4 linked regions of the Notamacropus eugenii genome follow. The protein of the gene in region 4 interacts with the protein of the main gene of each other region in a pairwise test. Links are inferred from orthologs where the notes say so. Each region holds a gene or a part of one and is shown on either strand. Other genes may lie near its edges. The genes, in order: SLIT1, RGS17, NELL2 and HOXA1.

Region 1 (7,968 bases), on a different chromosome or scaffold from region 4:
GACTCTGACTGGGTCACAGGATTTGAAGCTGCAAGGTACCACAGAAATGAATTCTGTCCAAACCCTTCCTTTTACAGATGAAGAAACTAAGGTCCAGAGGTAAAGAGCTTGCCACTGGATCACACAAAGACACAGTTGGGATTCAGAGCCTGGTCCTTGGATTTACAAATCCTGTGCCCCTTGCACGATATCTTGCTGTCTTCGAGTTCCCACATGATTTAACTTCTAGCTTCTATGAGGGGCCAGGAAGATGAGTGACAGTCCAGAAGTCCTTGCTGGTGTCTAGGTATTCTTGAGCCAGTGGCAAGATTACACTGTGTAGCTGGTTCTATCTTCTTCTCTTGGCCTCCCCCTCATCCTCCCTCTCATTTCCAGACCCCCTTTTTCTCTCCATAAGCCTCAGTAGCGACACTCAGTTTGACCAATCAACACTCCTACATTCCCCACAGGGGACCCTGATTCTAAGTGCCCTTCTGGGGATCAAGGCAGGAGGAACAAACAAAAAAAATGAAGTCCCAAGTATCATTTTTGCATCTAGGTCTCTTAAATACCTTTTTTTAATCATTGGTATGCCTCCTGGTATCTTGCTGCCAAACAGAATAAGGGGGTGAGCTTTTAGCAGCCAGTCATATTTTCAGAGGTTAGTCAGGAATGTGGCTGGTCCTTCCTTCTGTGGCTTTGAACACAATTTATTCCCCATGGGGAAGGGCTAAGAATTTAGCATCTGAGGCAGCTTGGTGTCACAGAAATAACAGGGTGGCCTGGAAGTTTAGAGAGGCAGTTTGGGCTTTGTGTAAGGTAGGGGAAATCACTTCTTTTTTTTGGGTCCAGCTTCCTTGTCAGTTAAATGAATGAGCTGGACTAAGTGATCTTGAAGGTCCTTTTCAGCTCCAAATATCAATGACATAAAGCTAGGAATTAGTGCAATGATGCGGCCAGGACAGTTTTTTATCTATCTTCCTTACTATGAAGAATATAGGACATATTTGGTACTTGGAAAGGAAGCAATGGGCACTCACAGAGATCACTGGTTCAAGTATGGGTCTATATTCATGATTTGTGACTATATAATACAAACAGGACTTTGTCATGGAAATAAAGGACACGTTTTTATATACAGGACATCTTGCAATTTTGGGTCAGGAGATATTCCATTATACTCCACTTGGGAACAGAAGCTGTGGTTAAAGAACTCTGTCCAGATAGGACTGGAATTTGGGACCCTTGGTAAGACAGATACTCCAAGGGAAGGAAATTGCTAAGAAAAAGTTCCTGCTTATTAGTTTACTTATGGTCTCTAGCCACCAGAAGTGAAAAGAATCTGGAGTCTGGTTAAAGACAGATGTAAAAGACAAATTTTGCCATTCCTTTTTGGTTTTTACAGAAAATGAGACACTTTCTGCTTTTATTTTCAGATCTCTAGCTCCCACAGAAAGTGCTTGGATGGCATCATTGCGTGTTTCTTTTTATGCCTTATCACACGTCTTCCTCCCCTTCATTCCAGTTACCATCTTGCCCAGAGCCTAAAAGTAATCTTCATAGCCATAACTAAGGCAGGGCAATTGGAGCTTTGTCTCAGAGCTGTTAATTTGGAGGGTCCTAACAGCACCTTCCCAGAAGCAGGGAAGGTGCTATCACTGACTTCACCCATCTGTACCCTTTCTCATCTGTCCATCTTGCCCAGCTAGATACTTGTAGTTATACTCTAGTGTATATATGGCTCTGTTGAACTGACTTTGGTCCATTCGTATTTGTTCATACACTGAGAAATGCATACAGGACAGCATATACTGCTTGTGGTTCTAACGTCTACAAAGTAAGGCAAATAGTGTGTGCTCTATTTCTAGTTCAGTCTGGAGAGAATCCGAGGAGCTCCTAAGATGCCCCTTGGTGGTCTCACAAACTCTGTTTGCTTTTGGAGAGAGGTTGGGAAAGGGCAACCTGAAAGGTATGGAGATCATACCATGTGCTTATCTGTTGAAGCTACTGGGAATATTTAGCCTGGAGAAGAGAATCCTGGAGATGGAGGAGGGACATGATAGTCATTTTGAAATATCTGCAGGACTACCACGTGAATGAGTAATTCTACACTTGTTTTGTTTTGCCTCAAAATGTAAAACCAAGAGCTGTTGGGTACAAGTTAAAAGGCAACAAATTTAGGTTTGCTGTAAAAAAAAAAAATACTGAGGATTAGAGGTGTCCACAAGTGCAACAGGCTGTTCCAGGAGATGGTGGTCATCCCCTCCCCCAAAGTCCCAGTGACTTTTTATCCATTTGCTGAAGAGAGAATTCTTTTTCAAATGGCCCCTGAGTACTCTTTCAGTTCTGAAATTCTATGATTCTGTAATTCTTATTTCCTCCAAAGCTCTTCTAAAAGCATAACCCCTGTAGGACAAAAATACTACACACCAAAACTTTCTCTCTGTGTTCTTTTTAGACAGCAGTGGCCATTTTTTTCTGGAGTAATAATCAAGGCTATTTCTTGGAAGCAGCAACCTTTTTATCCATTTGTCCCAAAGGGAAATCTGATAAGATGATATAGTCAAGGAAAAGTGGAAAGGTACCTTGGAAGATCTTTTTATTCCATTTAGCTTTGCCGCATGTCTCTGTGTAACAGATGTACAACATGCCACCATGACAGAAATTCCAATAGTGTTTTGTGTCGTGTGAGGGAGACCGATGGAAAATGTCCTTAAGGAGTGATAGACTACTGCAAGATGCAGTCTGAACAGTGACCTTCCAAAAGTCAATTCTATATCAACCTTGCTGTTAATTTTTTTAAAAAAGGATTTTTAAAAAGCAGACCTTACATATGTAAAGAGGTGGGCATCAAAATGCCAATCTGCCACAACCTATGCTGGATTGGGGCTGGGGACTAGAAGCTGACTTGGAAGGACAACCTCCTCAAAGTGGATGAGGAGGTAACTTACTCGCTAGTATTAAAAACTCACCAAAAAACAAATAAAAAACCAGGAGATCTTCTACAGAAAATGAGGGGTCCTCCCTTCTTTCTCCTCTACCCCCACTCACAAAGCAAAACAGTAGGATTTGCCCTTACTAGGGTTCTTTATTAGGACGATGTATCCCTTAACTTGTCCTTTGTTAAAATGAACTGTATTTTCACAGTCACAGAAAACGAATGTTGGACTGGAAGGGACCTTGGAGATCTAGACAATAGTCTGATTTTACAGAGAAGGAAACTGAGGCTTGCAAAAGGGACTTGACTTACTCTAGGTCACCCACCTGGCAAGTGACACATAGATTTCCGAACTCCAAGTCCAGTGTTCGTCCCACTACATACCAAGCCTGCTTTGAGCTGGAGGACCTGGGTTTCAGTCGAGGTCTGATGCTAATATCACTTGTGTGACCTTGGGCAAGGTACTTGAACTCTAGGGCTAGTTCTCTCATCTGTAAAATATGTCGGTTTGACTGGTTGGCTTCGGAGATTCTTTCCAGCTCAAGATCCATGATCTATGACTCCTTTCCTCCTTCAGGGATGTCCTTGGAATTTATTTTAACCTGATTCTTTCGGCATGCAAGTGGGGGTGGGGATCTCCTCCTCCTTTCCGAATCTCGTAAGGGTCTGGCTCCCCCTCAGTATGGGAGTCAGCTGTAGTCACCAGGAAAGGACGCTCCCTTCCTCGTGCAATGAAGTGACCCTGATGGAGCCTAACTAGGCAGCCTAACTCGGATCCTAGTTTTTCTCCTAGTGGAGTGGAGTATGGGTCCTCGAGGATGGTAGGGGGGTGTGTGGTGGTGGGGAAGGGAGTGAAGGGTTTGGTTGGCGTAAGGACTCGAAGTGAAACTTGAGGGTTCGTGGAATACAAACTCCGGGCCAGTGCAACCTTGGGCCCCTGGAGGGACAGGTGGTGTGACGGAGCCCGCGAAGCTTCCTCTGCCTTGTGCCCTTTAGACACCGCCCCGGTTTTCAGACCCTTGAGGATAGGAAACTGGGGGGGAGGGGGACATCTCGGGGCAGGTGGCTCCCTCGGGGCTCTGAGTGGTCTGCCCCTGGGCTGGAGCAGTGGGGTCCAAGCATCCCTCCCCCTCTGCCCCTGCGCCCCTGCGCCCTAGCCTTCGAGATGAGCTCTGGGCTCAGAGCTGGGCGGAGATGCCCCGGACTCACCTTTACGATCTGGGCACTAACGTGCCCCCCTCCCCCCCATCCCCGGTCCCATGGCTCCCATGCCGAGGCTCCCGCAGACCCCTGGGGCACGAGGTCACCCCACCCTGCCCTAGACTGGCAGGAGGCGCCGAAAGGGTCATTCCACTCCGGAGAACTGGGGTGTCAGAGCCAGAGGCAGAAGCGGGCCACGGCCTCAAGTGGCTCCGAAGTGTGTGTGTGTGTGTGTGTGTGCCTGTGCTGGGCGGATCGGGGAGGACGCTCTTGGGCACGCCTGTTACAGTGTGACTGCTAACGTGTGCCTGTGAGTGTGTGCTTGGCGTGAGTGTGTGCGGGGCTTTTCGTGCGTGTGTTCGTGGGTTATGTGTGTAGGCTGCTGCGCGCGCTTCTTCCAGCGCCCAGACTCGGCTTTCGTGCCTACTTCCAGCTGAGTCGCAGCGCCCCCGCCCATCCCCTTCCCCCCTCTGCGCCCCTGGCCCCCTTTCCTTTGCGGTGGGCAGGGGTTACACCTTTGGAACTGTACGCGGCTCCACTTGCGTTGAGTGGCCGTTTGAAGATTGAGAGGCTGGGGCTGGGGAGAGTCGGGAGGGACGGGGTAGGAGGAGTCAGGGCTGATATTTGTGCCTGTAGATTGATGGATGACTGCTGGATGTGAGTGTGTGTGCGCGCGCGAGAGAGGGTGTGAGTGTGAATGTGTGTGTGTGCGTGTGTGTGCTCGCGGCTTTCCCATTTTCCTCTTCGCAGCAATCAGGGAGGGAGGGAGACGGAGAGAGGGAGGGAGAGAGGAAGGGAGGGAAAGAGAGGGAGAGAAATAGGAGAGGGAGATAAGCTCACTCTAGAGAACTCCATCCATCCAGAGAGGCAGTGGAATAGCTACTGGAAGAGGAAGGCGATTTGCATCCCGAAAGACAGAAGAAAGAAGCTTTTTCTCCTTCTCTTCCCCTCATTTCCTTCCCCTCACCACCTTGTTTTTACCTGGGATTACACACAAACCTGTGTGGTGCCTGGAGCCAAGCCTAGGACTGTAATGGTCAAAGGATCCAGTCTTCTGGCACTGAAACAGGACTGTCTGTGGGTACCATGGCTCTGAAGCACAGAGGTGGCCACTCTGCTTGGCTCCGGCCAGAAGTCTGGCTCTTGGTGTGGAGTGCCCTGTGCCAGCTGTGTGCCCGTGGCTGTCCTGCTCTCTGCACCTGCACAGGGACCACTGTGGATTGCCATGGCATGGGGCTCAGATCGGTTCCCAAAAACATCCCGCGTAACACTGAGAGACTGTGAGTATGGGTACCTTTTTCTTTACGTTTATTCTCAGTGGGGAGCCATCGGCAGCCCCCCTTCCCATTAGCCCCATAATTGCCCCCATCCTAGATTGAATTCCCTAGTCTGGAGCGCACAGTTTGGGGCCCTGGGTAGACAGCCATTGGACTGGTCAGTGGAGCTGAGGTTATTTTCTGAGCCTGAAGCACAGCTGCCTGCCTCTTCTTGATGATTCAAATAGCCCTCCCTAGGGTTGTAAGCTCCCTGGCTCCCCTGTGCTCACTTACACCTGCACCCCCAGCCCTCCTTCTCCCCTCTTATTAGGCTATTTTGAAATGACATAGTAGCTGTTTTCAGGGTGCTTCATAATCTTTTATGAGGTAATCCTGATGGCACCCCCTTGGAATGGAGGTAGTCATCTACTTTACCAGGCATGAAACCTCATTTTGGGGAAATATGGGCTTGGATTAGATCTATATGTGTATGTGTATGCATTTGGCCTTTGCAGTTATGGAGGCTGCTGGGGTGTCTAGGGTGCTTAGTTGAGGCTTCTCCTATTTCTCTTTCCCTATTGTTTTTCCTGGCGCAGTATCCCTTCCTTGGCAGGTATCACCCATTAGTTTTCCTTGTTACCCCTCTTCATCCCCAGTCCAGATAAACAATGGAATGGAACATGTCACAGCATAGCCTTGGGACATCTTTGATATTGGGAGCTTGACTTGTGACTGATCTGGTTCATCAGAAGGGATGTGGATGAGCCTGGCAAAGGGATGGAGGAGGGAAACCTGGTAAATACCAGCCCAAGAACAGAGCCAGTGACAAGACTCTTGTTCCCTTCTTCCTGCTGTGGGGTAGGGAACTCTCTTTAGCAAGGTTAAAGAGAGATTATCAGTTTTAAGTAATAAAAACATCATTTTCCAGTGCCCTCACCCTACTCCCTCCCTTGAATTTTTGAAGATACTATATGTCTTTTATAGTTCTCCTGGAGAACACTGCTGAGGGACGGTGTGGGTAACATGTGTATGTTTACAGAGCTTAGTAATGTGCTTAGAGCCTTATCCAGGCTCTGTATATGCAAATTTGTAGTGTCTATTGCTCCAGACCAATGGTACATCTCATTTTACATCTACAGGATACATGCATGTGTGTGATGGATTTTTGGACACACACAGAGCCTTTGTACTAGCAGAGAGGTTATTGCACCAATAGATTTTGGAATGGGAATTTGTAGGGGGCTGTGTAGCCTCCTTTGAAGCCAGTCTGCCCTTTCTTCCCACACTCCTGTGCAAATCCAGTGGCTCTCAATCAAAGAGCCCATATTTTGATAACTTTTTCACACATTTTCATCACTCCCAGAAGGTCAGGGACAGAAATCGGACCCGAAGGGGATCATTTTTCTCCATGAAACTTTATGTATTAAGGTCAACAATTAGGAAGCAGACAATTTGCCCTAGAACCTCCTACTGTCCAATTCTGTAAGTTTCCCCAATTTTACATCCTCTGAAGTGTATTAGCCATTTGTGATCAAATAGGGGGACAGGGAGGTTAGATGGGGATTGAAATTCTGCTTCTGAATCATAGGGAAGGTTTGGAATCCTTGATGACATTCATCAGTTCAATTCATTCCTTCTTCAGGTCTATCAGGATAGAGCCAGAGTTTAGAGTAGAACCAGATAGTTGCTCGAACCAGAGTTGTTTCTCTTGAAGAAGGAGCCCTGTGGACAGACATTTGCACAGTGACTCTGAATTTCCATGTTTGTACCCTTCCCAAGCTTCCCTCCTCTCTATTCCCATCTCTGTTTGCTCATTTGGAATAGTGGCTAGCTCTGCATTCTCTGATATGTGTATACACCTTCTACAATGTTTCTCACTCTGAATAACATCCTTCTCCTTTGGAAAAAAAAATTTTTTTGTTGAAAAGGTTTGATCATTCATTTTTGGTCTTGATCACTTTCCTTTTTTCCCCTCAAGGGTAATTCCTATTTTAACTCTATTAAGCTATTTAACTTTATAGAAAGAAGTGAGATGGAATCCATATAAGTGTTAGGTTAGTGGAATTAGGGTAGGCTAAGTGACAAAGGGGAGGATTTTGGGCTTTGCCCCAGGCATAAATTATCCTGGAGGAAAGAGGAGAGGTCTGATTATTACTCTGAGGGATCAGGAGAGAACTAGTTTTTGATTGTGGTTCTGATACTAGTTGTGTGATCTTGGACAAGTCATTTGAGCTCTCAGAGCCTCAGTTTCCCTATCTGTAAAATGGGAATGAGATTTCTTACACTATCTATTTCACAGGATTATTGTATGGAAAGTTCTTTGTAAACCTTAAGAGATAATAGAAATGTGAGCTATTATTATTATCTGCTGAATTTGGGTTGAGAGAAATAGTGGAAAGAAATATGTTTCTTTCAAAAAGACCAAGAAAGAGCTACTTGGTAAAGAAAAGAGAATTAAAAAAAACCCCCAGAAATCTGACAGAGCCAGGAAAGAGTGCACACGTGGACTTAAAATAACAGTGGTAAATTTGTCTCTCTAATCAATATGGGTGTCGAGCACTATCAGTGTCTGAAACAGCAGCTTCTTCTGAGGCT
Region 2 (6,883 bases), on a different chromosome or scaffold from region 4:
AGATAATTTACTTTTCATGTTTCATTTTGTATATATTGATTTTCTAAAAAACTTTGTATACATGGACATTTGTTCAGAAACCATGAGAAGTATCTGTAATAGATGTAAGATAAGATAATCTGTTTGCATGATATAAGACTGTTCCCTTGTAGGCTAACTGTGGTAGTAAAGAGAATGAACAGACTTAAGGTGTCCTGCAGAGCTTACTCAGTATAGGTGGACATCTACTTTTTGTGATTCTTTTAGACTATTGTGTAATGCATTGTGCCTGATGAATGAAATATAATCACCGGCATGATTTGTTTGTTCTCTGCCAGAATGTGGAATAGTCATAAACTGGCCAACTGTAATTTGTACCTTTTGGTAAAACATATAAAACCAATACTTTGAAAGAACAGTTTGATATTTCCCACCTGCACAAATGAATTGAAGAAATAGCCTCAAGATTTGGTCTAGCTTACTTACAGGTTCCCTGTAGTTTCTCATCAGACACATCCTTTTGGTTGATGGTACAGTTTGTGTCCCTACCCAGTCATTTCCATGTGCTGATTTGTTTTGGTTGAATTATTTGTCATAATGGAGAGTTTCTTTTTTTCTGGGAGGTAGAATTATAAAGTAATAGTGATGCCATCCAAAAAAATTAAAAGAGGAAGAGGAGAAAGAAGGAAGCATCAACCATTTTTTTAAACACAGGAATGTCTACTCAAAAAGGGAAGTGGTCAAGAAGGTCAATTTTATTATTGTCATATTAATCTCAATATAAAAACCTGTGTAGTCAGCATTAACAGTTTCATATAGTCTTCTGTTCTTTGTATGTAGTTTCCATATTGAAATTTGCATTAATAATAAAAAATCATCAAAATCAATGAATGTATTCAAGGCCTCATAAATAAATAGTGAATAGATGTTTTCAGCAGGATTTTATTCCCACTAAACTCTGTACCACTAAGCCTGTTTTGGGGAGTGCTATGTTCAGTTCTAGATGCTTTATTTTTAAAGGAAAAAAGTCTTTTACAATCATTCTTCAACCTGTCTTTCCAAACTGACTTATATCCATTCCTCTTAATGCACTTTGCATTTCAAACTGACCTATTCAATGATGCCTGTTCACAATATTCCATCTGCCCTATCCATGCCTTTATATAAGATGTCCCCTATGCCTGGAATGCTCTCCCTCTCTACTGCTGCTGCCTGGAATCCCTAACTCTCTTCCCTTCATAGTGCTTAAGGATGCCTTCTTCCTTCCCCCACCCCCCCAAAAGAACCGTTCTTTTGAATTTATTTTGTACATACTCATCTGTGGGGGGAGGGGTTAATAGCACCCACCTTCCAGTAGGGAGTTCATGAGGATGTGATAAGATAAGAATTGTAAAGGGCTTATCATGGTGCCTGACACCTAGTAAACACTATACAAATCTTAGCTATTATCACGTGCATATTGTTTTCCCCCAGGAGAATATAAGCTTCTTGAAAGGATGGACCTTTCTTCAGTTTTGTCTTTGTAGCCTCCAAACCTAGCATATAGTAGACATTTAATAAATATAAACTGTAATAAATTGTTCAGAATGTGGTTAAAGAGGGTGACCAGGAAGGTTCTGGAAGCTATATGATATTTAACTGTGGTTGAAGGAACTAGGAGTGTTTAATCTGGGGGGACGGAGGAGATCGCTTGGGAGAGTGGGGGGATAACATGAATGTAAAATTTTAGATGTTTGAAGGAAACTTCACATGGCAGTGACATTAGACATTCTATGTACTTCCAGATGGCAGACCTAGGACCAATGAGTAGGATGTAGTGACAGATTTTGCAAACAAGAACTTTATAAAAATGGAGTGAACTGAGTGGTTGCATAGCTTGCTCCCCGTCACTGTATTTATTCAAACATTATTTTGCTTCCTTTTGAGGCATTACTCCAAAAAGATCACCTATTCTATATTTTAACATAGCTTCCCTAAAAATGCTAACATCAATTTTCTTGCTTTCATTAACCATGGAAAACTAACAACTCGCATTAATAACAATTTTTAATAATGCCACTCTTTGATTTTAAGAAAATAGAGACTTCAGAATTAAAGAGGAAATGTTCATTGTAGCATCTAATGATCCTGGCAAAAGAATGAGATAGTTGAACTAATTGTTATTTAGTGCCCCTTAATTGACAAGCATTAAGTTCAGTAGATAGCCCCAGCTATCCCTTTTGAGTTCATTTGAAACCTTGGAAGACGGAGTTAGAATTCAAAATTCTTTTGATCAATTGGAGAAGTGGCTAGAACCAAACACAAACAGATCTCATAGAAACTTGTGTGATCATTTCATCTTTAATTAGAAAGTTACTCTGGTTTTGTAAAATGACTTATGGGTCAAAGCTTACATGGAAAAAGAATAAAACATACTAACATGAGATGGATGATGACTGACAAAAAAAGATTTAAAAATAATACTGGAAATCAAACTTGAAAAGAAAATATTTTTTAAAATGACACTAGAGTGCTGCTCCAAGAAAAAAGATTTGGCTGCACAATGTAAGCTAAAATTTAAACCCTCCCTTGGACACACTTCTTTGTGAGATCATTCCTTCCTCCCACTCCTGTTGTTTTGAAAGAGCATTTGAAAAAAAAAAAAGGTCCCCTCTATTGTTTTTAATCTTTATATTTTGTGGTTTAATTCCTTCCCTCAGACTTTTGATATGACTTTTGAGTTGCTATCCAGCCTCAACTTTAGTTTGGAAGAAATTTGGACTGATGTGTTTGATAAGAGGTGGAATGAAGAAAGTATTGCTACATAGGATGATAACAAAGGTGACACATAATCAGCTGCTCAACTCTTTGATACTGTTTCCACTGCCAGGGCAAAAATCTTTGTGATTTTTTTTTTAAAGAATAAACATGGTTTAAAAAGCAGTCAAACCAAAAGCAAATAAGGTAAAAGCAGCTGGATGGTCTCAATGAGTTCACAACATCAGACATGGATGAACTACACTGAGAGATGAAAAGACCTGGAAAACATGATTGCTAAGCCCATCAGTGATATTTGGAAGACAGTAAGAAGAACAGGAGAGATGGTGCAGGAGAACAAATGACCAGATTTTCAAAAAAAGGAAGGGAAGTAGTGTGTGCAAAACAAATAAAACAAAACATGAACTTTATTTTTTATTTCTAACAAAACTGTAGGACATATTAAGAGAATGGTTTGTGAACATTCAGGATGGAAATGACAGCATGGCTCCATCAAATAAACCTTGTTTCCTTTTTTGATAGGGTTATTAGACTGAGAGATTTCAGTAAGACATTTGACAAAAGGCCCTCATGCTAATTTTGTGAACAATATACTCAGATGTAGGCCAGATAATAGTTATAAGGTATATTTGAGACTGCTTTAATATCTCAACCTAAAGAACGGTTATTAAGAGAGCTATGCTTGGCCCTATGCTATATAACATTTTAATTGATGACTGCTTAGTTGAAAGTTCTAGATGGCAAGGTGGTCACCTTCATTGGATAACGAATAAAGAGGGGATAGAATGATTTAACAGCCCATTTGAAGAAGATCTGGAGACTTTGGTGGCTTGCAAATGTGATAGTATTAGCCCATGGGGTAGTATGTTAGTCAAAACAAGGTAATGCTATCCTAGATTGCCTTAAAGAAATAACATCTAAGACAATCAAAGCTGAAGGACCACTGTGCTCCACCCTACTCAAAACACATCAGGAGTACTATTCTGTTTTTGTTTCCACATTTTACATAGACAGACTAGAAAGGATGAGGAGGATACTGAGAGTACTGGAGCCAAATAAGTATCAATAGTGGGAAGAAAAGCTGTATTATCCAGGTAGAGAAGAATTAGAAGAGACAAAACAGCTGACCTCAGGTATTTGAATGACTGTCAGGTGGAAGAAGGATTAGATTAGTATTGTTGTTTGATTCTAAAGGGTAGAGACTAGAGCAATAGGTACAAGTTTCAGAGAAGCTGACAGCTAACATGAGACAAGACTTCCTAAAAATTAGAGCTATCCAGACATGTAATGGGCTGCCTCGGTAAGTATAGAGGTTTTATTTTTTATTTAAATAGATTAAAATTAAGATAAAGTTATGGAATCAGAGTTAGGAAAACTTGATTCATATCTCACATTTAACACTTACTAGTTGTGTGATATTGAGTAAGTAACTTAGTGTCTCATTTTCCTTGTATGTAAAATGAGACAGCTGAGTTTCATGGCCTCTAAATTGCTTATCACTTCCAAACCTATGATCTCATGATCTCTGTGACTATTGATCTTCAGATAGGAGCTGGAGGATCAATTTGGTGCACTGTGATAGAGGGAGTTCTTAGTGAAGTAGGACTAAATGGGAGGATGGTACAAATTACTGGGTTAGGGAACATATGTCACATATGTCCTTTCTCCGTAGTATCTTATTTGTCAATTGTTTCTCACATCCATTGTAAGTTCAGTGAATTTCAAAGAAAATAATAATGATATACAGCATTCTGTCAGTTATCAGTCAATATAGACTCTAATTAACCTAAGAACTACTAATTACACATTCAGGGCAGCATATAATTATATTATATTGTAATCCTTAGCCACTTATACATATATGCACATCACGTTCCGTGCATATGCAATTCTGAATAAAGGCTTGTGAATTTGTTCTGCAAACCAAACATTTCTGAGGTTTTCTGATAATAGATAACTATTCACTTCTGCTCTTTGACAGTATGACAGTGTATTCTCATCTTATTATATGCTTTGCATTCATCTTGAATCAGTTATTTTAAAGTGTGGATGTTTTTATTAATAAAGTTGCTATTTGGGAATTTGGATTACAATTTTATTTAATTATGATGAAATGTACATTTAAATTTTTCTTATTCTTTTTTTATAAAACCTAAATGCTCTTACATACAGCATGAACAATTTTTGAATATTTCAGACTTTTAAGTAAAAAAGATCTGATGTCAAAATTATAAAAATTAAAAACTTTAACATCTTAGTGAAACATAAAAAGCGTTCTCAGTAATAAACTTTAAATATGCTGCATTAGGGGAATGCTACAATTTGTGAAACTGAACTTTGCAGATATGAATTTTAGTGTGATATATATATGTATGTGTACACATATATTTTTGATTTAAGTTGTTTTACAAGTTTACATTTTTATTTTCATGTGTTCTTTAAGAATAAATGTTTTCTTTTACCATTTCATGTTTCATTTGTATAGGAGGAAAGGGTATGTTTGTTTTCATTTTTTGCACATCAAAGAGATACAAAGATGTTAGACAGTTGAATGCAGGCAGTTTTCTTCTCTATTATCCTACCTTTTTAGGTGGCCAGAAAGACAAATAAAATTTCATTGAGGTCTGAGTCCCTGTAAACAAAGTAGGACTCAAACCCAAGTCTTCCACACTCCAAAAATGGCCCTCTATTCACTCTGCATTTGGAGTTCCCTTATAAAATTAGAATTTGGGTCAGATAAAATGGACTTTAGGAAGAGGTACAAGGTAAAGTGACTGCTTCTGTGGTACTAGATTTATGAGGGGAACAGCCTTCCAACCTCCAATCAAACCTGCCACGTCATGCCACCATACATTTCATTCTCTTATGTATGAAACACTTGATTTCAAATAGTCTTAAATGACATGTCTTTAAGAAATGTTTGTTAACTACTTACTTATCAATCCTAATAAGATTCCTTAAAAGTTAACTGAAGGTAAGACATGAAGCATAGTTGGAGGGTGAGGTTGGGAGAGCAGGGTTAGAAAGGATTGGGAACACAGCCACTAGTAAGGAGAAAAAAAGATTCATTGTTCAGATATAAGAAGAGATAAAGAAGGTGCCAACGGCAAACTTCGCCTCGAGTTTTATTTAACTATATAACCTTGGCAGAATTGTCATTTTGTAGTCCAACCAAGTCACAAATACCAGACTAACTTTGTGGCACTATGCCACTTCAATAAATAGTTATATTATGAGGACATAGCTCATAACCTACCCTCTTTCAACTTTTCCAGTCTTCTTACACCATATTTTCCTCTATATCCAGTGGCAATGTCATCCTTGTGGTTCTTTACACTAGACAGTACATCCGCTGACTCCAAGAATTTTCATTGGCTGGCTGCCATGCCTGCAGTTCTCTCCTAACTCATCTCCATCTCCTAGCTTTCCTTGCTTTTTTAAGGTCCCAGTTAAAATCCTACCTTCTGCAAGATTCCTCATCCCCCCTAATTCTCATGCCTTCCCTCTAAGATTACTTCCAGTTCATCATGTGTATATGTTATTTGTATATAGTTGTTTGCATATAGTCTTTCTTCATTCACCTGTAGAATGTATGAGAGCAGAAACTGTTTTTTTGCCTGTCTTTGTATTCCCAGAGTTTAGCACAGGCCTTGGCACATAGGGACTTAATAAATGCTTGTTAACTTGTTGAGAAGTCTGCCAAATTCAGGACATTCACTCCTTTATTTACAAGTGAATGGAGCAAATATCATAGGGTGAGATTATTCCTGTGGCACTCAGTGAGGCTTGTTTCCTTTCTTTGGGCAGAAAATAGCAAAGCATGCAGAAAACAAAATGGCAGATTCAAGAAATCTTGTCTTCAAAACCACAAGTGAAAACCATTGCCTTGTGTAAGCAGGAGAGCTGAAATGGTTTTACATAGTTCAGCAGCTTTGGTCATTTGAAAGATTGCCAGAAAATAATCATCCAAGACGTTGTTCAGTAGTACAGCTGAACTCTTTGGGCCCCAAAATACAAGGCTCTGAGCAGGGCATTATTTAACCTGGAAAGTAAACAAGAGCAAATAGAATGCCTAGACTAAACTAACAAAAAGTAAGTAAACCTCTGGCCTTGCAATAGAATGTGACCATTCTCTCCTTTACCCAGT
Region 3 (7,959 bases), about 190 Mb from region 4:
GCAGCAGTAACTGCTGTTGCCCTGGAGCTAAGGTTGGGACCAAACCATGCTCCCTTCTCACCCAGGTGGAGAGCTTTCTCACTAATCTTTGAAGCTGTCTTTGGTGTTTGTGGGTTGAGAAATCAGGAAACTGTAGCAGCTGCCAATGCCCTGAGGACTGCTCCAGTCCAGTCTCTACCATCTGTGCCATGTTGACAGAGCTCTGCTCTGAGCGTGGTGCAACAGACCCTTCCTGTCAGTCTTCCAGGTTGTCTTGGGCTGGAAATCTGTTTCACTCTGTCATTTTGTGGTTTCTGCTTATCTAGAATTTGTTTAAAGTCTTTTTTCACAGGTATTTTAAGAGCTTTGGGGGGAGAGCTCTAGCAGGTGTCTGCTTTTACTCTGCCATCTTGGCTCCAACCCCCCAAAAGTTCTTAAAATAACTGGAAGCTATTAAGAATTAGATAGAGGGAAGCTCCAAATCACTAATAATAAAAGAAATCTAAATCAAAACAACTTTGAGGTTTCAATTTACACTCTGTTAATTGGTAGAGAAAAAGATATAGAAATTGTCCATGTTGGAGGAGTTGTGAAAAGATAGGTACTAGTACATTGTAATGAGTATAACCATTTAGGAAACTACTTTGGAATTATGCAATCAAAGTGACTAAATGTCCACTCTCTTTGATCCAGAGTTTCTTGGGGCTAATACCCCAGGAAGGACATTGGTAAAGAGAAATTCTCCATATACATAAAATTTTTTATAGTAACACTTTTGGTAATAATAAATAATTATGTAAGTTTACAAAGTTTACAAAAATTTTCAAACAAAATAGTTAAAGAAATGCTCATGGATTAATAAAATGGAATATTATTGTGCTCTAGAAAATGATGAATATTATGAATACAGAGAAGCATATATATGTATGTATAAATATATATGAACTCATAGAGAATGAATTAAGAAGATAGAGGAAAACAATATAAACAGTGACTACAACTATATAAACAGGAAGAAAAAGCACATGCAAAAAAACCCAAAATTGAATTTGCAAAGTTTTAAGAACACATATGGCTCTAAAGAAGAAATGTGAGAACTTCCCTCTCCCACCCTTTTAGTAGTGGGTATTCCATTCATATGATTCATTGTGCATATTTTCAGACTTTTGACCCATAATAAGCAGTTTTCTGATCTAAATCTCTGTCTCTCTCAGTCTCTCTGTCTCTCTCTCTCTCCCCTTCCCTCATTCCCTCTCTTTTTCTTTCCCTTTGTCTTGGAAAATATGAGCTAGCTCTCTAGGAATCAAAGGGGCAGGGCTATTGAGCATAATTTTAGTGCTATAAGAAAAAACATCAAAAGATATCAATAAAAATATATTTTAGAAAATGAAATTGGGGAGCTATTCCTTAACTTTAATTTTGTAGAACATTCTAAATGATTTGGATTAAAAAATAGCTAGAAGTTTATATGCATAGGTAGGAGTTGAACCATTTATTCTTTGAACAGGGGATCTTAAATTTGGCTTTATGCAGAAAGTAACAATTAATTTCTATGGAGGAAAGTTCATTCAAACTAGGAAATTTGTATTACTGGAAGATAGTAAATACTAACTACTAACTATCTTAAATGTTTGAATCTTGAAGAGAAATGTTGAATCTTTTTATATATAAAGATATTTTTAAACATAGTTACATGATGTGGTTTTTACTATTTAAGGAATAGAAGAAGCTCTTTTTTATTTTAAAGAAAGAAACTAAAAATAATTTGTGAATAATTTTTGAAAATTCACAATTTCAAGAGATAGAAATTATTTCTAAGTGTAACCATCAAACCTTTTAAATGTTAGGCAAGTGCTTAGGAATATCCTGCAATACAATCATTATTTGCAGTGAATTGACAATGAGATTATAGAAAGATGATCATGCCAACTTTTAAAATCTAACTTTTAGTTTTTATATGTAACCCACAGTTCAAAGACCATCGGCATAAGGGTCTCTTCATTGGTGAAGATTGCTTACTCTGGGAAGAAGCTGTTATATAGCAAATAAATCCATTTTGCAAGTCAAAATAAACAGAAATCAGAGAACTTATACAGATGAGAATATACTAGACAATTCATAGAGTGGAGGGGGAGAGAGAGAGAAAGAGAGAGAGGGAGAGATGGAGAGACAGAGAGAGAATCATCCAGAACTCACTCAAGAAAAAATTCCTTGAAGCTTCTGTGTAGAAAGGAAGGCGTAATAGAGAATGTATACATTGTGTTTTGAGATTTGCAAATCATTTTGCAAATATTACCTCAGGTCTTTTCTTACAATAATAATGGGATAGAGATTATATTATTACAGAGATAGAGAAATGTCTGAGGCCCTAGTTCCTCTACATATTAGCTTCTTCCTACAATATTTCTCTCTTCAAAGACCACTCCCAGAACATAATCTGGAACCACTGCAAAGACCAATATCTCTCTTTTCTCTCATACTCTCATCAGTTCCATCCCTAACAGCAGCAGTTTTCATCAATGAAAAGTCTTACACAAATGAGTTTTGAGCTCCCGATTACATCTATTTTATTCAACTGCCTAGGTAATCCAGCATTTTATTTTATTTTATTTATTATTTTATTTGTTTTCAGTGTTCTACAATCACTTCCATGTATCTTAGATTTTTCCCCTCCCTCCTCCCCTTTCTCCCTACCTGCCCACTCCTTCCCTGAGATGGCATACAGTTTTATATAGGTTCTACGCATACCTTCCTATTAAATAAATGCATTTTCATCTTAGTCATGTTTCATAGAAGAATTAAAATGAATGGGAGAAATCATAAAACAAATCAAAACATACTACAAAAGAAAATGATTGTTTCATTCTGCAATTGAATTCCATAGTTCTTTCTCTGGATGTGGAAGGCATTTTGCCTTAAGCGACCATTGGGAATTTATTAAGTCCTTGCATTGCAATGAAGAACTAAGTCTACCAGAAAAATTCCTAGCACACTATAGTTGTTGCTGTGTACAAAGTTCTCCTGGTTCTGCTCCTTTCACTCAACATCAGTTCTTATGTCTTTCCAGATCTCTCTGAAGTCTTCCAGTTCGTCATTTCTTATAGCACAATAGTATCCATTACATTCATATACCACAATTTATTCAGCCATTCCCCAATTGATGGGCATCCCCTTGATTTCCAGTTTTTGGCCACCACCAAGAGAGCTGCTATAAATATTTTTGTACAAGTGAGACCCTTTCCCACTTTTATGGTCCCCTGGGGATACAGTCCTAGAAGTAGTATTTCTGGGTCAATGGGTATGCACATTTTTGTAGCCCTTTGGGCATAGTTTCAAATTGCTCTCTAGAATGGTTGGATCAGCTCACAGCTCCACCAACAATGAATTAGTGTTCCAACTCTCCCACATCTTCTCCAACATTTATCATAGGTGTCATGTAGTATCTCAGAGTTGTTTTGATTTGCATCTCTCTAATCAATAGTGATTTAGAGCATTTTTTCATGACTATAGATGTCTTTAATTTTTTCCTCTGAAAAACTGCCTATTCATATCTTTTGACCATTTATCAGTTGGAGAATGATAATCCAGCATTTTAAAAAGCAGATGTAAATTTAGCTTCTTGAATAATATACTAATTTAATTTAATTTACCAAGTGAATACCTGTGAAGCCTTTTTAAAGTGGGTATGTGAATGTTTATTTTGTCAGAAAAATACTGCTATCTTAAAAAATGAACAAATTCCACTGATTCTAGGTATTGGAGATTTTCATAATACATTTTAAAAGAATAAGTAGAAATTTTAAAATTTGGTCCAGACTTTGACATTTCAGTAACTTAAATAAATAATTTGAAACATTTCCCACACCTTAATTATAACTCCCCACCAAGAGCCAATAAAAAAGAAAGTAGAAATGTCTTTTTTGTTTTACTGTAGTAGCATATATTACAGGGTACACTCTGATACCTATTGCTGTGAGGACAATTTAGACACCTCTTCTAACATTTAGCAAGACTGTAGGCATTTTGGTCTATATAGTTATGGGAAGGGGTAGATGGAGATTTAAGAATGCAGCTGCCTTGCTTATAAAACTAGGTAACAATTTACTTACCAATTTAGCAATGCAATACCCTCTTAAATTTGCTCTGATGAAGGAGTATAAGGAATCCAATTTTTTGAATTCAGAGAACAATCTCCTGGATATTTAAGGGCAATTCTGGAAAATGTTGTCTTGGATGAAGACATTCTATGCAATTTGCATCCATCCTCACTGATTCTGTATTAATGGAATCCAAGGCCTATGAAAATGTTATTAGAGAGGCAAGACTGTGGTCTCTAATTAGGGAGACTCATCATATTCAGCTGGTGCCATGGCTCCTTCCTCCAGGCTTGCCTGCTCAGAGTTCCTTTCTAGCCCACGCGATATCCCTTTCCTCAACTCATCCGTCTGGCAGAGGTTCTGGAGCTTCCAGGCTGTTCTGCCACCAAGTTCACCACTCACTGTGCTTTTTTTTCCCCTCCTTGAAATATCTCTAGCGCCCCTACCCAGGCTGTCAATTTTTGCATCTTCCCCAAGGCTCCCTTTTGCTCCCCCTATTAATCACTTCTCTCTGTTTTTCAGGTCCCAGCTCAAGGTCACGTTCTGCTTCCAGATCAATGCTGTCTTGTGCTCTTGGAAAGGAGTACTGAGTTTCTTGGGAGCTGCCACGGTTATGGGAGAACTGTAGGGTAGCTTTTGGATTTTTCGTTCCTTTCTGACTAGCGAGCAATTTAGTTTCCAATTCCCTCAGGGACTTTGAATAACTAGGTGATCCCTTTTCCTGGGGTAAGGTGGAGTGGAGAGGGGGGTGGTTGGGAGTGGGGGAATACGCTCTTCTGTGAACTTGGCACCTTGGTTTTAGTTTTTGTTTTTTTTTTAATCTGAAGGAGGAGAGTGGCAAGGCTCCAGGATAGTGGGAAGGAAGAGAAGGAGGCTGCAGTTGCTCCCGAAATCTGTTGCAGTGGGAGGAAAGGGACAAGGAAGCTCTTCCCTGCTTTCTTCATTCCCTTCCTTTTCCTCCCCACCCTCCCCCATGCTCGCCGCCCCTCCCTGAAAGGGCAATCTCTTCTCCCTGCATCTCTGGGCTCTCCTCCCATCGTCTCTGCCTTCATCACAGGTTCTGGCTGCAGCGGGAGAGGGAGTTTTTGTTGCCACCCACACCCGTCAACACTCCCAACCTCCACTCCCACCACCGATCTGATCTTTCCTTCTTTCCTCTCTCTTCATCCTTATCGTTCTCTCTCTCTCTCTCTCTCTCTCTCTCTCTCTCTCTCTCTCTCTCTCTCTCTCTCTCTCTCTCTCTCTCTCTCTCTCTCTCTCTCTCTCCTCCCTCTTTTTTACCCTTTGCCACTGTATGTGAGAATGATGTGCACATCAGGTCCAATTTGTTCAAGGGTCTGACAGATTTATGCATTTTATTTTTAAGGAACTGCCCTCCTCGATTTTTAAAAATAATATTAAGAAACAAAGGGAGAGGCAGACGTATATTTATTTTTATTTTAAGAGGGTGTTGTTGTTATTTTAAGACGAAGAAGATGAACTGAAAAGATCTCCACCATGGAGTCTCCAATCTTAGTGACCACGTTCTGTTTGATCTTCTGTCTCGGATCAGGTCAGTGCTGGCTGGGTTGGGCTGAGGGGAAAGCAATCTGCATTAGACTCTGTAGAGACAAGAAGCAGAAACCACGTAAGGAGGTTCTGGAAAACCAGTGCTATCCTCTCTGTGGCACTGAAAATGCCCGGGAATGGGAAGGGAAAAGGCTAGCTTGCTTCCCCCTCCCATTTTGAGACCTAAAGGACGTTCATGGCCCATATCTTTAGCCTTGTGAACAGAGGGGTACTTTTCAGGTGGAAGGATTTTTAAGTATTTCATGGAAGTAGGACTGGGTGTTGAATTATTTTTAAGCCAAACTGGTGAGCACAGGTGAAATTCTGAGAAGGGATAGTTGCCTAGCTTTGTCAGCTTCCAACATAATTGCTGTCCTGTAGTGCCAGATACTTTTATTTTGATGGTGCTTTTTCTTTCCCTCTTATTCTTCTCCAATGTCCAAAACCTACCTTCAGTTTGGGGAATTGGAGTAGATCCCTCCTTGAAAATCGACTTCTTGACCGATTTAGAGCTGGGAGAGTCCACAGCGGGAGTGTTCCAGGTCCCTGGGCTTCACAATGGAAGTAAAGCCTTTCTTTTTCAAGGTATGGATGCGTGGTACTGGGGTCAATTAGATAATTTAAGAAGTCCTTAGCAAAGCCCTCAACCAAACTTTCGAATTAGATTGCTCCCATCACAGTGTTTTAAAGTAGTGGAGGGTCATGTTTTATTTGCTTCTCTTTCATCTCTTTTTAAGTGCCAAGGATTATCTCCCATAACTTTTTAGTTTGTATTCCTGTTATTTTTAATGGCTAGGACCCCTGATTAACATACAGAAATTCAGATGGCAGATGGTTTACTTTAGATTCTAGGAAACATTATATCAAAACAAATGCCTCATTTAGTTGAAGTTAATTCAGTTAGGAAATAAGATATCTACAGTTTTGATTAAGAAATTATTCTCTGAAAGTTTCCTATGAAATTTTGCCTCTTTAGATTGGCCAGAATCTTGACAAAATATGTATTTAGCTTTCTAGAAAAATCAAAATCATCCGGCATGTTACTATTATTTCTTCATTATATAGTAGACATTATTTATGAAACTGTATTCATTTGTGTGTGGGGGAGCAAATTGGGGTAAAATGACTTACCCAGGGTTACTCACACAGTTAAATGTCTGGGGCTGGAATTGAATTCAGCTCTTCCTGATTCCAAGGTTGATTTTCTATCCTTGTGCCACCCTGGAAATATATTCATTTTTTGAAAATCCCAAATCAAGCCTCTAACCACCACATCCTTACTCCTGACTTTAATAACAAAGGAATGAGAGCTCTTCATGAATCAATAATGAAATAATGTTTAAATATGTAGTGCTGACAGACATATATTTTAAAAGTTGAAACTAACCTTGATTTACAAAGCTATTTGAAGGTGACTTGCACCTAACTGGGGTTTAGAACTCTTGCAAGTACATACAACTTCAGTGGTACACTTTCAATGTTCTGAAGTCAAGTAGTAGAACAAGTGCTAGAAAATATTCTCAAAGGCCAATTCCTTTTTTCCATTAAAAAAATTTTTCAGTATGCATTCAGATATAATAATGACAGAAGCACAGATCTTCCAGGGCAGAGACGCCACTTCTCTTGCAATTTTCTGGAAATTGGGAGTTCTATCCTACATTTCTTTATATGCCCTACAGTACCGAACACTCAGATATTTGTAGATTGATTTTATATCTTTTCTAGGTCAAAGTACAATGCTTGGGCACACAGTAGACACAATAAATTTTGTCAACCTGATTTCCATATGTGGAATTCTATTTAACTAGATAAATAAGATAGGCAAAGATATAGTACAGGCCCCAGAGTCAGGAAAATCTGAGTTCACATACAGCTTCTGACACTAGCTTTGGGACCCTGGATTAGTCTTTTAACCTGTTTGCCTCAGGTTCCTCATCTGCAAAATAGAAATAATAATAGCACCTGTCTCAGAGTTGTTGTGAGGATCAAATGAGATAAAATTGTAAAGCACTATGGTAATTGACCAATAAACTTTAATTAAACTACTGTATGCAAGGCACTGTACTAAGTGCTGGGGATACAAAAAGTTGCAAAAGACAGTCCCTGCCCTCAAAGAGCTCACAATCTAATGAGGGAAATAATATGCAAACAGGTATACATACATACATACATACATATATATATATATATATATATATATATATATATATATATGGAAAACTATATACAGGATAAATTAGGAAATAGTAACAATGGGAAGGCAGTGGAATTAAGAGAGGTTAGAAAAGGCTTCTTGTAGAAGGTGGGCTTTTAGTTGATCTGTATTTGTCCTTCA
Region 4 (7,441 bases):
AAAATTGACTCTATCCAATTAAGGGCAACTTTTATGAAAGTAGAGACACCCTTTTCCCTTCCCCTTCGCACATGAAATGATCAACCCAGTGTGGAATCAATTGTAGCAGCCTGGAGGAAATACAAGGAAGCCCAAGCATACCTGAAATGTGAATATATTTATTACAGATATTTTAGGACCCGTAAATTCTGCTCTGAATTCCATCACTCTTGGAATCTCAGAACTTTTCATGATTGTACAGAAACTCAGAAGCATTGTGGGACCACAAAGGACAACTGATAGAACTCAGTGTAGTATCTTTGGGAGCTCAAACCATTGTGCACCATGCAAAAAGCCTATTCACGAATCACATGAAATATACATTCATTTCGCCATTCATCACATTTACGATTGGGTTGGAGATACATCAAATCGAGGGAAGGATTACTGTGGAAATAAGATGTTTGGAGATAATATGCCCTAGGGTTCAGAAACAATTCAGCATAATTTTTGAGTGGGGCAGGAGGAGGCCAGAAGAGGTGGGAGGACTGGGGGAGAGACACTGCACACCCAGGAGGTTTACAAAAACAACAAAAAATACCCCAAAACACAACAACAACAATAACCCAGTGCAGCCCAGTCCTACTCATCTTCTCCAAAGGCACAGGGCTACTTCCCTGTGAAGTAATCTGATTGGGCTTCACCAGTCCAGTCTGATTTCTTTATTTTGTCACTTTTAGTCCTGTATAAAATTACACCCAGCTTTGGGAGTCTATCCACCCTGTTTTAATCTCCTAAGCTAAACATCATTTCTAGAAAATCTGTATAAAGATAAATCTCTTAAAGTATTTACAACCAGCAAACTCTCACACAAGAAACTGAATGCATTAAATTAAAAAGATGAATGTGTAAACACTTTCATAGTGCATCCTCTTCTTGAGGTCTTTAGACTCTCTTTTTTCCTGCCTTTAGTGTCCGGGAGATGAGGAGAAGGAGGACGGGGGGAGAAAAATAATTTGAAGTTAGATATCAGATATCTCCACCCTTCAAGCATGGGAGGGGGTGGGGTGGGGAGATGGAGTTTTTCCAAAGGATGTCTGAATCAATCATAGGCCCTCAGAGGTCATCAAAGACCAGATGGTGGTACCCCACCATTTGTGAAGTTACTCCCACCCAGCCTCTCAGTCTCTGGGCCTGAATTCTCTTGAAACACAGTGACCTAGCCCGAAGAAGACATGGAGATAACATCAAAAAGAAAGACATAGTAAAGGAAGGGAGAGATAAGCTAAGAATGTGCTTCGGGTTAGAAGTCCTGCACTAAAGTATCATGGGGTGGGGAGTGGGGGGAGGAAAAAAGGGGCCAGGGGCAAACTCAGTTGGAGGTAGTCAGAGTGTCTGAGGTAGAGGAGGCTGGGGAAGAGGGGACGCAGGGCGAAGAGGTAGATTTGTCTGAGGATTCCTCGGCCTTGTCGTCACTCCGTGATGGAGTGGTGGGCGAAATGGGCAACAGGCCCTCCTTTTCTCTCTTCTTTTGCTTCATGCGGCGGTTCTGAAACCAGATTTTCACCTGGGTCTCGTTGAGTTGCAGTGAGGCTGCGATCTCCACCCTTCTGGCCCTCGTGAGGTACTTGTTGAAATGAAATTCCTTTTCCAGCTCAGTCAGCTGCTTGGTGGTAAAATTGGTGCGCACTGTGTTGGGTTGGCCAATATACCCATATTCACCAGCTTTCCCTGGAGGGCAAGGGTGGGGAGAGGGGAAGGTGGAGAGAAAAGAAGTAGTTTGGTCATCTGATTGTTTTTAGTTTTTAAATGGTGTGGATGAGTGATTTATTTATACCCGTCAAGCTTTGGGATCATAGGTAAAGGGGCAAAGGATAACCTGACCACATAGGACTCCTAGGAAGGTGACTGATGAGGTACAAAGTATTAACTTGAAGTCAACTATTGGTGTGAACAGAAATCGTGATTAATGGGAGTCCACCCCTCCACCCCCAGCTCCTACTTTCAGGAAGCCAGAGAGAGGGACTGGCCTCCTGCCTATTATTCCTGGGCATCATTTACCTAAGTACACCTGAGTTCTCCACCCTATCCACCCCCTACAAAACCTATATATAACCTTGAGTTGGCTTCTCCCCACCATATTAAGTAAACCTACACCCACCCACCACTCCACCCCCAAACCCTCATGGCAGCAGTAGCAGTGGTCAGGTGCTGGGCAAGAGAACTGACCTGTTTTGGGGGGATTCCTTTTGACTTTCATCCAGTCAAAGGTCTGTGTTGGAGGTGATGCCTCTGCTGAAGGAGAGCGACAGGTTTCTTGGTGGCTGGCATGGAGAGGGGACAAGGAGTTATTATAATTTGCCAGAGTCAGATTCTGCGCTTCTTGTCCATATGAGTGGTGAATGTACTGAGGCGAGCCCACCGTGCCCCCAGCATAACCCTGGTGGTGGTGGTGGTGATGCTGGACCATGGAAGATGAGAGAGTTCCAGAGTAAACAGCGGGAGCACACGAGGGGTACCCGCCGCTTACGTCTGCTTCCTGATTTAATGAGTAGGGGCTGTAACCTGCTCCGAAGTTCTGCGATCCGAACCCCGGGCCACAGCTGGAGTGGGAATAAGACATACCCAGGTTGTTGAGGTGCTGGTAGGCGGCCGGCTGGGGATAGTGGTGATGGGCGTGAGGGTGGTGGGGAGGACTCATCTGCACCCCCCTGCCCACCAGGAAGCGCTCGTCGCTCCCGCAGCTGTTGGCACTGACCGCGCACGACTGGAAAGTTGTAATCCCATGATCGGGGTGGTAGGCTCGGGCGGAGCAGGTCCCCGAGTCTCCTGCGTTGAGGATAGGGTGCTCCAGGAAGGAGGCGCTCATTCTCGCATTGTCCATCTGCCTGTCACACAGTGACCGGCTCCTTCCGAGCCCTGGGTGACCGTGCCAACTTTCTCACTTCCTCCATGGGGCCAAAGAGAAAAATGATATGAATGTACAGTGTGCAGGGGGCGGGGGAGGGGGAGAGAGGGACGGGGCGCACGTGACCGCGGCAGCCAATGGCGGAGCCTCCTGTGAAAGTTTGCCTGTTCTTGCTGGTGATGGATCACCGTTTCAGTGGCATTTAAATCCCGGACGCTCCTCCATCAAGGTGACGCGCAGTCGCCCCCCCGGCCGCTGCAGCGGCGGCGGCGGCAGTGGCAACGATGGGAGCCCCGCTCTGGGGCCGGGCCCAGGAGGAGCCGGAGCCCCAGGGGCAGCCCTCCCCGTTGCCACCACCGCCGCTGTTGGCTCCCGCTCCGCCCTGCCTTAGGAGTCGCTGGAGGAATGGGGGAGTGGGGCAGATCCCCAGGGCCCAGCGAGGAGGACGAAGATGCGGCGCTTGGCGGGGAGAGTCCCAGCTCTGGTCAGGATCGCAGGGCTGGGGCTCGGTCTGCACTGAGCCGGCCGCCCAATTGCAGGTGAGTGGGAGAGCCCCTCACCCTCCCGGCCAACCCCAGTACCAGAGTGAGCCAAGGAGAAAGAAAAGGAAGATCGCCCTGCACCCGCGCCCCAGCCTCCGGGTGAGTGTGCTAGGCGCTGCCCCTAGCTGCCCAGCTCTCTGGTTATTGTCATGACCACGGCTTCCTTTGGGAACAGTGCGACTGGGAGGGGACGGTTTGGCGAGAAAACCTACAAGGCCCGTGTGGGAGGAGGCTAAGAGCAGAGGAGAGAAAAAGAGTAGGGGGAGGGAGGAGGGAGAAAAAGGAGGGGGAGAAGGGAGGAGGAGGACGAAGGAGGAGAGGGGGAGGAGGAGAAGGAGGAGGAGGAGAACTTCTCATCTCCACGGAAGGTCTCCAAAGCCAAGGAGCTTCCCCCTCCCCAATCCGCCCCAGTCCCGCAGCTATTAGCATGGCAATGAGACGTTGTTGTAATCTGATTCCCGGGGGCGGGAGAGCTGGGGGACCCTGGATTGACGGGAAAGGCCGCCTTGGCAGCAGCAATCCCCCTCCCCCAGCTTCTCCTCCTTCCCTATAATCGACTCTGCCTGGGGAGTCCGAGGTGACCGGCGAGTAACTCCCTAACTCCGCGGAGGGATGGGGGGGAGAGGGGGAAGGGGAAGGGCGGGGAGAGAGAAGGGGCAGACGCTGGCGAATGTAGCCCAGCTCTGGAGCGGGTCCCGGAGCTGCTGTCCATCTGGTAGGCTCCCCCAGCGCTGGAGGGTCAACCCACGCAGGCCGGGACATCCGAAGCCTCTGTCTAACCCCAACCCGGACCGAGTGCCTAGACATAAAAGACGAGGAGCGGGCTAAGAATTAACTGTAGAATTAACTATAATCAAATTCTTCTACCTTGGGGCTAGATCACCTCACGATTCCCCTCCTTCCCCCCCTCCCCAATCGAACCCCAACACTCCTAGGGTCACCATCCGCTGTGTCTGGAGTTGGAGGTGGGGGCTGCCAAGTGGGAGGGGCGACAGATGGTTGATGATGGAAAGTGAGCTTTCCCCTCCCTGCTACACCCCCTCCCTCCCCACAGCCAGACCCGCCCAGCCTCCTTGGTTTCTAGACTGCACTGACTGGCTAGTTTTCCCTAGAGGTTTGCGTTGCTACTAGCAGAAATCTCTTCCCAGGCTAAGGGTCCTGTTTTCAGTCACCTTCGTTCTCTCACAGCTACTAATGGGTTCTTTAATTTCTGTGGGGCACTGGGCTCCGTGTCAACCCTGAGCGGGCAGAGAAAAGGCCAAGTAGAACGGGTCAGAGACAGACTGAGACAGAAAAGAGTTGGGACAAACAGCAAGGCGGAGAGGGCCAGAGAAGGAATCTCTCGGTTCTGTGGGGGTGCTCCTTATGTAGCCAGGAATATCTGCGGTGTGCTTAGAGCCAATCCCTGCAGAGGAGGTGATCGCTAGGGCCACAGATCTGGAGGCTGCTTTTGATTGGTTACTTGTTTCCTCCCACCCCCTCCAATTTCAAGAACTAGATTTTTAGGGGGCCTATTTGAAATTTCCGTGTTACCACATTCCTTTTCTGTTTTGTTTCCTAAAATATAAACTCCTAAAATAAAATATAAACTCCTTTTCTCCTCCATGTCGAGCCCTCTCCCCCAGTAGCCTCCTCCTCAGAGAGGGGAGAACAAAATTGGAGGAGCTTCACCAGCTTCAGGGGCCCCTCAGCCCATCCCTCCTCCATTTCTCCTCTCCCCTCTCCCAAGTAGAAGGTGTTTCTCCCCAATATTTTTGCCCTTCTATTTTCATTTGCTCTTTTGCCCTTTGACCCATAGTCATGACGAGGAACTGAAGCAGGCCCCAAGTGAGCCAGTAGAGCCTCTTCCAATACGATCAGCACCATGCCACCAGGAAGGTTGGACCCTCTGAGGAGAAAGAGTCTGGACCTTGACTGAGGAGAATCGTCCCTTTCTCCTCTTCCCAGGCCAGCATCCAGTTCTGAGGCTCCTTCTCAGAGATTCTGGGGGCAGGGCTTGGAGTGGGGGTGGGGAGCTGCACAGTCATCACAGCTAAGCGTTTTCCTTTCCAGGAGCACAGCTTCCACAGAGTCCCCCTCTTTTCTCCATTTCTATATCTTTGTTTTTAAAAAGCTCATGTCTTTTGTTAAGATCCCACTTAGTCTAGAAGTCTGTAGCCTGCTCAGTCACAATGAAACATAATAGGGAATGATGGAATGTGTTCTATTGCCTCTCCATCTTGTCTGCTTTCTTCTACCCCCCCATCCCCCTCCTCTCTCTCTTTCTCCCTCCTTCCTTTGCCCTCTTGTTTTCTCACCCTCCCTGTCACAGGCTCTTTTCCTCTTTCCTCCGTTTCCTCCCTCCCTCTCTCTTTTTCTTTCTCTCTCTCCCCCTTTCCTTTTCCTCAGTCCTCTGACACTCTTTCCTCCTCCCTCTATTTCCCCCCTCTCCTTCTTATCATCCCTCCCACTTCCATCTCTTCTCTTTCCTTCTCTCCCTCTCTTTCCTCCAGTTCCTCCCTACTTGCTCCTTCTTTTTCTTTCCCTTTTTCCTCCCCTCTCTACCTTTCTCTTCCTCTTCTCTTTCTCCCGCCTTTCTTTTTTATCCTCCCTCCCACTTTCTTCTTCTCTTCCTGCCTCTCTTCTCTCCTGTCCTCTTTTCCCTCTCTCCCTCCTCTTTCCCACTAAGTGGAAGCCCCAGCAAGGAGTTTCCCTGGTGTGTGTAAATACTCACAGACATATTCACACAGGCAAAGCCATCAACAGAAATCGAGATACTGTACCCACTGGCGTTTCTCCACCCGGCTTAGCCTCTCTGCTGCCTGGGCCCAGATTCCACAGGCTCGTCATAGTCCAGATCAGCGCCTCCACTTCCTTCGGAGAATTTCGCCTTTCTTGAGCTTTCTTCCCACCGGCCATCACACAAAAGACTGGCCCCAGAAACACAAGACGACCAAGAGGCAAAACCTCCTTCCCTCATCCAGGAGGAAATTGATCTCGAAATCGACAAACGAGTTTTAGAGCCCTCTTTGAGCCCTGGGGAGTTGGTAATGAGAGCACCCAGCAAAGAACCCCATGCTTTGTCAAAAATGGAAAGCTTAGAGGCAGGCAGGGGAAGGGTGGAGAGACCGTCATTAAAATAAAAAGAGAATGGCTAGATTTAAAGCGCTTCTTCCCTCCGCCCAAAGCCCTTCTCCTAGAAAGAAAAGGAGGGAGGAGGGGGGGAAGCCCAGGCTCTGAGCTTTTCGTGGCATCGGCAGCTTAGCCAAGCTGTTGTTTTAAAAGAGCAATAAAAATGACTTATAGCTTAAACGCCTCCTAACTTAATGCTTTCAGACGGGGATCCCCAGCTCGGGCAAATACGTAAGAGGACTTGTATTTGTGCATGTGTTCCTGCAATTGATCTCTTTGATGACATTCTCATTCATAGAAAGAGTTTGATTTATGAGCAGTAGAAGAATTCTATCCAGCCCTATTCCCAGCTCTGGCCCACACAGCCCAGCCCAGCCCAGCCCAGCCCAACCCAGCAAACTTTCAGTTCAGCTTCTCTCCACTGGGCTCCGGTAAAAAGAACCCTACAACTTCTCCCAGATGCTGGATAGTTCTTTACGGAGGGAGGACTGAGGAGGTGGAGGGGGGGCATGCATTCACCCACCCACAGAGCCCAGATTTCATTGTAACTGCCAAACTATTACTGTTAAGGTCTTCGGTTAGTAAATCAGACCAGCCCACTCACACATGTTGCTTGCACTGTTTTCTCACGGTAAATAACACTGTTCACAGAAAGAGGGAGAAAAAGGGGGAAAGAAAATAAGAGGAAAAAAAAAACCAGAACAACCCAATAGCACAGCCCTACATCATATTTTATTGATGTTCATTTAAAGTGCATTTTATATATTTTATAGATTTTTTTTTTGTTCTGACTTGGGAATCTTCCTTATTTCAGAAGATGTTGTGCTGACCCACACTCCACTTTAGACTTCAATTTGCTAACCTGACTTCAAAGCTTTAATGAACCCTTTATCTGCCATGT

Evidence for each region.
Region 1: the proteins of HOXA1 (region 4) and SLIT1 interact in binary tests that used the Homo sapiens proteins (3 or more experiments, as listed by UniProt). The link is inferred for Notamacropus eugenii from reciprocal best matches to the Homo sapiens genes HOXA1 and SLIT1.
Region 2: the proteins of HOXA1 (region 4) and RGS17 interact in binary tests that used the Homo sapiens proteins (3 or more experiments, as listed by UniProt). The two-hybrid records come from large-scale screens. The link is inferred for Notamacropus eugenii from reciprocal best matches to the Homo sapiens genes HOXA1 and RGS17.
Region 3: the proteins of HOXA1 (region 4) and NELL2 interact in binary tests that used the Homo sapiens proteins (3 or more experiments, as listed by UniProt). The link is inferred for Notamacropus eugenii from reciprocal best matches to the Homo sapiens genes HOXA1 and NELL2.

What each region holds. Positions count from the first base shown.
Region 1 is NC_092872.1:213,997,921-214,005,888, reverse strand, and holds the start of SLIT1 (slit homolog 1 protein), read left to right. Parts: upstream 1-4,948; 5' UTR 4,949-5,203; coding exon 5,204-5,397; intron 5,398-6,782; exon of another isoform or gene 6,783-7,095; intron 7,096-7,968. UniProt on the Homo sapiens protein: Thought to act as molecular guidance cue in cellular migration, and function appears to be mediated by interaction with roundabout homolog receptors.
Region 2 is NC_092873.1:245,568,594-245,575,476, reverse strand, and holds the start of RGS17 (regulator of G-protein signaling 17), read left to right. Parts: upstream 1-3,871; 5' UTR 3,872-3,980; coding exon 3,981-4,036; intron 4,037-6,883. UniProt on the Homo sapiens protein: Regulates G protein-coupled receptor signaling cascades, including signaling via muscarinic acetylcholine receptor CHRM2 and dopamine receptor DRD2.
Region 3 is NC_092874.1:211,486,899-211,494,857, forward strand, and holds the start of NELL2 (protein kinase C-binding protein NELL2), read left to right. Parts: upstream 1-4,940; 5' UTR 4,941-5,573; coding exon 5,574-5,628; intron 5,629-6,080; coding exon 6,081-6,209; intron 6,210-7,959. UniProt on the Homo sapiens protein: Plays multiple roles in neural tissues, regulates neuronal proliferation, survival, differentiation, polarization, as well as axon guidance and synaptic functions.
Region 4 is NC_092874.1:18,131,442-18,138,882, forward strand, and holds HOXA1 (homeobox protein Hox-A1), read right to left. Parts: upstream 3,008-7,441; 5' UTR 2,864-3,007; coding exon 2,209-2,863; intron 1,711-2,208; coding exon 1,352-1,710; 3' UTR 143-1,351; downstream 1-142. UniProt on the Homo sapiens protein: Sequence-specific transcription factor. Regulates multiple developmental processes including brainstem, inner and outer ear, abducens nerve and cardiovascular development and morphogenesis as well as cognition and behavior.